Neurospora crassa OR74A: one gene and its partner. The protein of the gene in region 2 interacts with the protein of the main gene of each other region in a biochemical or structural test. Links are inferred from orthologs where the notes say so. Each region holds a gene or a part of one and is shown on either strand. Other genes may lie near its edges.

Region 1 (4,491 bases), on a different chromosome or scaffold from region 2:
GTAAGCTTGTTGGTTCTGGCCCGGCGGTCCTGGGGCACCGACTGTCTGTCCTGTATCATCCGCGTTAAGGCCGCCTTGGAGCGGGTCTTTGAGCATGTATGCCAGATGCTTCCTCAAAACGCGGATCATGCTGTCTTTCGTAAAGGGTTTTGCCAACACATCATTCATACCTTGGAGGAAGGAACGTTAGAACATCGAAAGAAGCAGGCGGGGTGAACTGGGATGGGCCCAACTTACCATACTGAAAGTAGGTCTGGATATCTTCTTGTCGAATATTCGACGTCATAGCAATGATGGGTACTCTTGCCGTCACCATCCTGATCATCGCCGTCGCCGATACGCCATCCAGGTTGGGCATAATAATGTCCATGAAAATGAGGTCGAAGCCCTCATTATTCTCCGGATTGTTGATCTTTTCGACAGCTTCCAGCCCGTCCTTCTGCTACAATGTTAGCGACGGCTGCCTTCGGGTAATTCGAATTCCCAAGGCGAGACACCTAGAACTTACAGCAATATCTACCGAGCATTCGAGTACATGTAGGAATTTGGCACCGATCCTTGCGCATGTCTTGTCATCCTCGACGAGTAGGATACGTGGCCGCTTGTGGCTCCACATGGAGGTGCCTTGATCTTTTGGGGGAGGCGTGATCTGGGCAGAGTCTGCCATCGCATTCGGATTACTCAAGGGACGAGTATAAGGGATGTTGTTGATGTGGTCGGAATGGAATGGATCGATGCCTGTTGTCTGCCCTACCGGATAGACCATGTGTCTAGGGTCGTTGAGGGGGTCATGCAACATGTGCATGGGGCCAGGGCCGCTCTGGGTGAACATGACTGACGAGGTCGCCGATTCCGATGGAGACCCATTTTGATGGTAGGCGACCGATAACCGTTCGAGTTCCCGGTCGGCCTGGGAGTCGGGGGAAACGCCATTGAGTATCTCGCGCGCTCGTCTAAGTTCGGCTGCCGGCTCATCAGCACCGTCTGGTAGTAGCCCAAGGGATCCTGCGTGGAAGGTCGGACCTGAATGACTTGAGTGGCTAGAATGCGCCGAGTGTCTGCTATTCCGTCGACGGTCCTCGATGTTGCTGAGGTGGGTGATCAACTCGTTGGAGACTTGACTCTGGGCCCTGACCATCTTCTGCAAGCTGATGACCTCGTTGACGAGCACTTTGTTCGTCTGCGCCAGCTCGAAATACTGTTCTTGCAACGCCTGGATCTGGTGTTGGGTCGCAGTAAGCGATTCGCTTAGGACGACAATCTGCTGCGACGCGCCAAAGGTATCCTCAGCTTGCGCTGGCTTACGCGGGGCGGGCGCTTTTCTGCGGATATTATCTAGGTTATCTTTCCTATCTGCACGAAACTCGGGATGTCGAAATTCCCATGCCTGGATACGGTCAGTTGAAGGAATCCCCTTTGCAGGACCGATGACTTGGACCACCCACATCTCTTCCGTATGGCGCTTCGCCACTTTCTTCATTGTGCCTCACTTTGTGAAAATCGTATTTGTTCAACTGCCGCACGAAGCTTGCGAAATTGCTGTGCTTGAAGTGTTTGGGTAAGATGGTTTTGGTGAATTTTTCATTCTGTTGATGAGCATGTCAGCAGAAGCAGGGGGGAAGTGTCTTCCCCAAGTGGAATGCCGTTCAGCGCATACCTCTAGAACAACGAAACTGTCACCGTCGGCGCTCCATCGTACTACGGAATTATACGTGGGGTCTTCGAGCATCCTACAAGCTGGTCAGAACGCACTTTTCGCAATTTACAGGCGTGGACTTGGCGCCTCAAGATGGCTTCGGGGGATTTAGGCTTCGTACTTATATAGCTTGCGCACCTAGGTGAGACAAAGTACGGGTTAGCACCCATCTTAGAACTAGCGGTCGCTGGCAGACAGAGAGAGAGGAGAGTGGAAAGGGGAAGGTTTGGAAGAGGAGCTCACAAAGTCGCTGGAGTTATTACCAGCCTGCACAGAGGCCGAGTCACCCTCGGGAGGCGGCATGATTGTTGTGGTTCAGCGTGGGTCGGGACACGAGGTCTAGACAAGCGAATGCCCAAGCAGTCCGATCCGATAACAGCGGCCGATAAGAACTGCGACCGAGAATCAAGAACAGTCCAATTTAGTAGGCACGAGTTTCTCCCAAGCAAGAGCACAGTTTGATGGACTGGTCACGCTCTGCTCCTCTTCTCATCTCCACACGACGTGATGCGGTCTCCTGGTCCGAGCCAACAGTTGTTTCCACTTTTCCCAAGGTCACGTAGCATATGCTCTGGGTCGAGCGTTCAGGTGGTCGAACCGCGGCTGCTTCGCGACGTAATGCACCCAGGCGGCGGGGGACTCAAACGGTTCACGCAGCGGATGAAACAGAAGGCGGTACAGTAGTCGAAAGAGCTATGGCAGACGGCCAAGCCAGGCGTGCTGGAGATGCGATATGGGGGACGGTTGTTGAAGCTCAGCGCGAGAGAACGACCAGACAGGCGATGGGCGTACGGACCATCTCAGGCTGTGACCGGTGTCGCTGGAGGATTCGGGGCTCGACGTCTCAGAGAAGGTCCAGAGGGTTGAACGAGTCGAAAACGGTCGAGACTGTGGTCGAGTTCAGGGTACCGTCTTAAGGCAGAGGATCAGGGACAAGGGACCTTGACCGGCGGATGGACACGGTGCTGGTGGAAAAAAAAAATAAAAAAAAAATGAAAAATGATGGAGGTGCGTTCTTCCGTGGACCCAGTCGATGTTTAGGAATTGGGGGACAGTTATTAGGGGCGAGTGCTTTTTGGCGCCTTGAACCTGTGTTGTCTGGTAGGTATGTACCTAGTTTTGCGAGTTGCGTGCCCCCTCGGTGGATTGGAGGTGACCGAAGCTGGCGCGGACGGGACTGGGGAGTACATATGACTGTCAGGACTGGCAAGCTACGGTATGATTGATCAAGTTCCGGAAAGCAGGCGAAAAACTTGCAGTAGCCAGCGAGAGCGGCAACATCAATTGCCTTGGTGAGCCTAGCAAACCTTGTTCGCTTGGTAGAGGTACGCCAGTACACAGTCTCGACAGTACGCCAGAGACGGTAGGATCGCTGCCGTGGAAACTTGAGACTCGCGAGGTGGAAGAACCGGGGCTGGGTTGTGGTAAGAATGGAACCTCGATGCGGCGCCGGTGGACATAAAGTTCGGACCCCTACCTTTTACTAGTGCTGAAGTGGACGCAAAGTTTGAAACCTACCAGGCGAGGAGGACATCTTGTCTTCCATGTCGGGCAAGTACTATAGTATCTATTTCAAGTTGTACACGCTGCGGAGAAAGTCCCGTGCCAAAACGGAGCTATCTTGACGAATCAGACGACCAAGACGATCGGCCGGGACGTCATCCAAACTCCAATCTTTACCGTTTTGTTTGTCTGGTACCTTCGGTTACGTCCCTTACCAAAGCCAACCGCAAGCGTCAATACATTGGACAACGCCAAAGATACAACCACCTATAAATACATCACAATACATGACATCGGTGGCATGTGAGGAGCCAGAACGGGAGTAAGTTACGTATTTAGGTACTTACGTACAGTCATGTGCGGTTGCGTAAGGCTTGGCTTGACCACGCTGGTATAAGCTTGGGGGCCTTCATGACCGCTTTACCATCTCTCCGACCTGTACATATGGAAAAGAAAACAGAATGCCATTGGACCTGTATATCGGGCTGCACCGCTGGAAGATGAGTAATTCGCTTCGAACACATGCTGTTGATCTCGTTTTAACATCAAATTGTGCTTTTGGCGATAATAGTCCTATTTGCTTCCTTGGTTCACGGGCCCGACAAGATACATGCAGGCAAGCCGGCAAGCAAGGCGAGCCAGCGAGGCCAGACATGCCAGAACACCAACTGCGTAACTGACCCTTACCGACGTCGATCCCACAACAACCTGGTGGCGCGACGATTGAGGAGGGAAGTCTTTCAACAGAAGTCCAACCAGCTATCGTCCGCTCATCAGTACACATAGCCAACCATGACTGAGCTTGGGTGACCCGCAAGCTGCTGGGCTGAAGATCAGGGACAGCTCCCTCACCGTCCTTCATAGAATGGCAATATTTCGAATTTCGGATGGCAAAACTGGTTGTAAAGTCTTCAGTACTGTTATAGCAGAGGAGGCTCCATTGTAGGAGAAGTGTGAGCGGGGTTCGGCCCGTTGATCTTGGAAGGTCCGTGAACATGAGAGACCCGACGTCTGCTGGCGAAATAGCCCCGCAGTCCCCGGAGCAAGACGTTAAAAAAAAAAAAAAAAAAAAAAAAAAAAAAAAAAAAAAAAAAAAAAAAAAAAAAAAAAAAGTGGCAACTTGGTTGAGTTTCCTAATAGTGTCCCAACACTGCAATGCACCCTGTGAGCAAGGCGCAGTAAGTCTTGTGCAAGTATCTCCATCGTGAAACGGCGCCACGTGCACCGTCATGCACAGTATCAAGTCTTGCCAGTTTTTGAATTCGGTCCCAACTTTGCCTTCAGGTTCTTTA
Region 2 (4,310 bases):
CCCAAGGGCGGGAAGCCGCTTGTCGATGCCGCTGCGTCGCTCGGGACTGCTCTCGAGGATGTCGGTGCCGACAAAGCTAACGGTGAAGGTGATCTTGTTCTCGCGGATCTGCTTGTCAAAGATAGCCAGCATTTGGGATCTTATCTCACCAAGCCTGAACTCTCTCTCTTCCAGGCTGACTTGTTGACCGATTTGATTTTTGGAGAAACTGAGGAGATCCTCGAGTAAATGCAACAGAAGGTCGCCTATCATCACGGTTAGTTTGATGAAAAGCCGAGGGGATACATAGGGGGCGGGAATGCTTACCAGATTTGTAAATCGTCTTGAGCGACTGCTTGATGCGAAGAACATCGTCTTCCTCCATCAAGACTGCACACATGCCCATGATTCCATTCAAGGGTGTCTTCAATTCGTGGGAAATGTTGGCGATAAACAGCGTCTTGCTTTCGTTGGCAGCTTCGGCGGCCTTCTTGCTGATTTCGAGTTCTCTCGTTCGTTCAGCCACCTTCTCGTCTAACGAAGTATACTGCTTCAGCAGCTCATCCGACATCTCGTTGAAGGTTTGTGTAAGCTCGGTCAGCTCGTCAGTAATGTAATGCTTCCTATCCTCCACCTTGGCGGGAATCTTGAAAGCATGGCGATGCGCATCCTGTGCAGCTGCAGCTCTCAATCTCGCCCTCTTCGACTTGCGCATCCTCCTCTTCAAACTTTTGAGCCAGCTCTTCTCGGACCTTCCCGACGTGGTGCCGCCCGAACTAGGGTTCTCTTCATCATAGTCGGAATCGGACAAATCTTCGTAACCCGGTGGTGCAATCGATTTCTCGGTGGCCTCCTTCAGCCGGCGAATCGGCATAACGCTCAGGTGAGCACACGGAATGGTGAGCAGTAGGACAAGCCCTGCGGTACCAAACACGCAACCCAAGAGTATGTTCCTCAGCGTACGGATCGGTTCCGTCGCCTCTCGCTTGTCCTGTTCTACAATCACCGCCCAGGTAACCAGTGAGGTTTGTGGCCGGGCAGCGCCAATCGCCACCTTCTTGCCCTGCTCATTCTTGGTCGAGATCTTGCTCGTGGCGTTGTTGGTCTGATTGTTTTTCTCCACAAAAAGATCGAGCACCGCCTGGTACGTCGCCGGATCGAAGGGGGCATCATAGGCACCGGACTCGAAGCTGTGGTCGCTGTGGCGGTCTTCTTGGCCGGGTTGGGGGGCAGGCGGTAGGAGGAAGTGAACCTGGTTGGTCCTCGCAAACTCATCACGGGGCGGAGACCATGTTTGGTTGCTGGCAGGCATTTTGGAGTTGAAATGGTTCCACGGGTTGACTGGGCCGATGAACAGAGCAACGCCAGTCTCGCCCAGGCCCTCGTTGGACCTCTGGACCTGGACGAGCTGTCTCGCGCTGGCAATCACAGTCATGTAGCCGAGAATGAACCTGCTAGATTGATTCTCTCGAACAGGAACCGTGATGGAGACAAGCGCGTACGACTCGTTGACCACAAGCGGTCCCAAGAGAATGCCGTTGCCTTCGCTGCCATTGCTCAACGAGACGCCAGGGAATATGTTGGCAGAGAATTGAACGGTGTTGGCCTTGTATGGGCTCGGCAGGTTCTTGTTCTCGTATGTGATGTTTGGGTAGAGCATAGGGGGGAAGCCATAGTCGGGATCGCCGAGTTTGATGTCGGCTCCAGTTGGGGATCTGTAAGGAAGATAGACAGGGTCGTCCAGGGCATCTTGGCCGGTAATGTTGAGAAGGCCACGTGGATCACCGGTGGTATTGCGAGAATACAATCTGGCCTGCAATAGACCCGACACGTTGCTGGTGGAAAGCGCGCTGGCCAGATCCTCGAGAGCCTGCTCCCAGACGTCCGCAGTTTGATTGCCATAGTATTCGTTGGTATAGAAATCCTCAAAGGCTTGCTGAAGCAAGAGTCGTGTGGAGATGGTGGTGCATGCCGTCTGGATCAGATCGATTTCGGAAGAGATGCGAGAGGCCTTGAGAGAGGCAGACAAGGCCAGGCCATCCGTCTTGACGCCAATGACAAAGTTGTTGACAAAGATCCATACGGGGATGGAGACAATGGCGAGGGAGAGGAGGACGGCAAAGATGACAAGGGCCGCAAGCTGCTCTCTAATTGCGATCCTCATTTTGAAGTCGCGTACGAGGGTGAGGAGGGACTACCGAGGGGAAATCGGACGGACCCAAGGCGACACCTGCATTATTGTCGATCTAGTCTGGGGGGGGAAAGGGTCTGGATGCGCTTGCGTGCTTGCTTGGTGTCTTGTGTGTGGTATGTCTTTGGAAAGTTGTAGTTCTTGAATCAAGTTTCTAGAAAGACTGAGTAGACAAGGACAGGCTGGCTTTGTTTGATGCGAGGTACCCTAATCTAACTGGAGGAGGAAATGACCAGCTGGCTAATCGATCCGGGTCTCAGATGGGAGTCGGGGATGGACGAGACAAGCAGGTGTGGCAGGAGGATCCAGATGGCGCCGCGAATCCGTCGTGATACCCGGATGATTAGGTAGGTTAGTCGTCGTCTTGGTAGTAGAAACGACAAGAGGTGAATGGGTAGTGGTAGTGGTGAGAGTAGTGGTAGTAGCAGCGGTAGTAGTAGCGGTAGTGGTAGCGGTAGTGGTAGTGGTGTGGTAGTGTAGCATGTAGGTAAGGTATGTAGGTATAGTCGGGCCTAGACTCCCAAGAGACCTATGCTGCACTGCCGTTGCTGATCCCGTCGTGGTGGCAAGTGGAGGCGAGGCTGGTTGGTGTGTTGTTGTGGTTTGGAATTAAGTGTCCAAGTCGGTGTGTGGCTCACCGGCTCGTCCAAGCCAGCAACAAATCACAAACTGAGAGAGGGGAAAGGAAACGGGATGGAACGAAATCAGGAAAAAAGAAGATGGAAGGGATGGACATGGACACGGGACCGATTCGGACAAGTCGGCCGGCGTGGTTGGGGTGAGTGAGTGAGTGAGATTGCGTTTTCTCTGGGTTCAACAGACAGCCACGGGGAAAGGTTTTGCAAAGGCCAGCGAACGGTAGAGGTAGGTAAGCAGCCCGGGACTGGAGTGATTCCGTCCGTCGCAAGTCGAAAAGATGGAATGGAGATGCTGGCCATTGAGTGGCTGTAGCAGCAAATCTGATCGAGATCTCCAAAGGGAACTGAACGAACCGAACCGGAAGCCCAGAGATGGAAGCTCAGCTTTGTTAAGTTCACTCATTCAGTGTGTCACTGTAACCTCGACTTGTCGTAGCATTGGCTGCTTTGGGACAGGTACTCTCTACACTTTGCGGCACCCGGATGTTCTTTCTGACCAGTCAGCACGGTACATACCCGACGTTCTTGCCGTGTCTGACAACATCGTCTGTGGAGTGTATGGTTGGTAGGTAGTGTATGATTCAATTGTAATGTACAGTACTTCGTTTCCGTATAAGTCGAAAGATACCGAGTTGCGAGTCTACGGTAGCCGTGGGTTGCTTGGTAATACACTACACTATTGTGTGTACGCAGTAGCAAGGTGTATCAGTAACGGCAGAGTGGATAACCTGTCAAGAAAAATAGAATGGACAGCACTACGGTAGAGAAGAAGAACACGGGAAAACCACTGACTCGACACCGACCGAGAAAAAAAAAAGAAAAAGAAAGAAAAAAAGTTGAGATGAATGCAGAGCTCGTCCGATCGATGTGCGTGGCCTTGGCAGATGCACTCAATATTGGCCCCGTCTCGACTGTTCGTTGTGGATTAGCGGGGCCCACTCCCAGCTGCGTAGCGCAATGCTAGTGTCAAATAGCCCAGCACTACCTGGGTTGGCCCCCCAAGCGCACCTGGGAGCTCCCCTGACGGTAAACACATCATCAACCATGGCCGCGGTCTGGAATCACTGCATTCATGCCGTAATGGGAAAGGAGCTGTTGTTGTCATGATGTTTGTTTTTGTTTCTTGATTCCCGTCCTCGATTGATGACGTTATTCCCCCAGAAATCCGTGGTCCATTTCCATTCGAGACCGTCCTAGGTTTTCCTCAGTGGGCTATTCAGTGGCACAATGTTAACACACACCACGGTCCCCCTAGCACGGCACTAACAAGAGACAGCAAAGTCAACAACTAAACACAAAGTCAACGTCGCTTCAGTTCTTAGGTTTCCTTCCTTCCCCAGACCCGACCACCTTTCTCGCCTAAAACGGGAGCCTTAAGCGATGCATCCACTCGGTCTAGGCCCTAGCCTTATCACGGTTAGGTCTCAGTCTTGTCGGTGCAATGTATCCCGCGCCGGCCTCCACTCCACTCACACTGGACCTTTTCTGGTTCGCTCCCGCCC

Evidence for each region.
Region 1: of the proteins of NCU04615 (region 2) and rrg-2, one has a biochemical effect on the other in vitro, tested with the Saccharomyces cerevisiae proteins (3 studies listed by BioGRID). The link is inferred for Neurospora crassa OR74A from reciprocal best matches to the Saccharomyces cerevisiae genes SLN1 and SKN7.

Annotation. Positions count from the first base shown.
Region 1 is NC_026507.1:2,582,064-2,586,554, forward strand, and holds the start of rrg-2 (transcription factor prr1), read right to left. Parts: upstream 2,871-4,491; 5' UTR 2,000-2,870; coding exon 1,940-1,999; intron 1,835-1,939; coding exon 1,818-1,834; intron 1,731-1,817; coding exon 1,658-1,730; intron 1,587-1,657; coding exon 1,446-1,586; intron 1,388-1,445; coding exon 509-1,387; intron 440-508; coding exon 238-439; intron 171-237; coding exon 1-170. UniProt on the Saccharomyces cerevisiae protein: Transcription factor that is part of a SLN1-YPD1-SKN7 two-component regulatory system, which controls gene expression in response to changes in the osmolarity of the extracellular environment.
Region 2 is NC_026505.1:1,487,009-1,491,318, reverse strand, and holds the start of NCU04615 (osmolarity two-component system protein sln1), read right to left. Parts: upstream 3,053-4,310; 5' UTR 2,144-3,052; coding exon 307-2,143; intron 246-306; coding exon 1-245. UniProt on the Saccharomyces cerevisiae protein: Histidine kinase that acts as an osmosensor at the plasma membrane.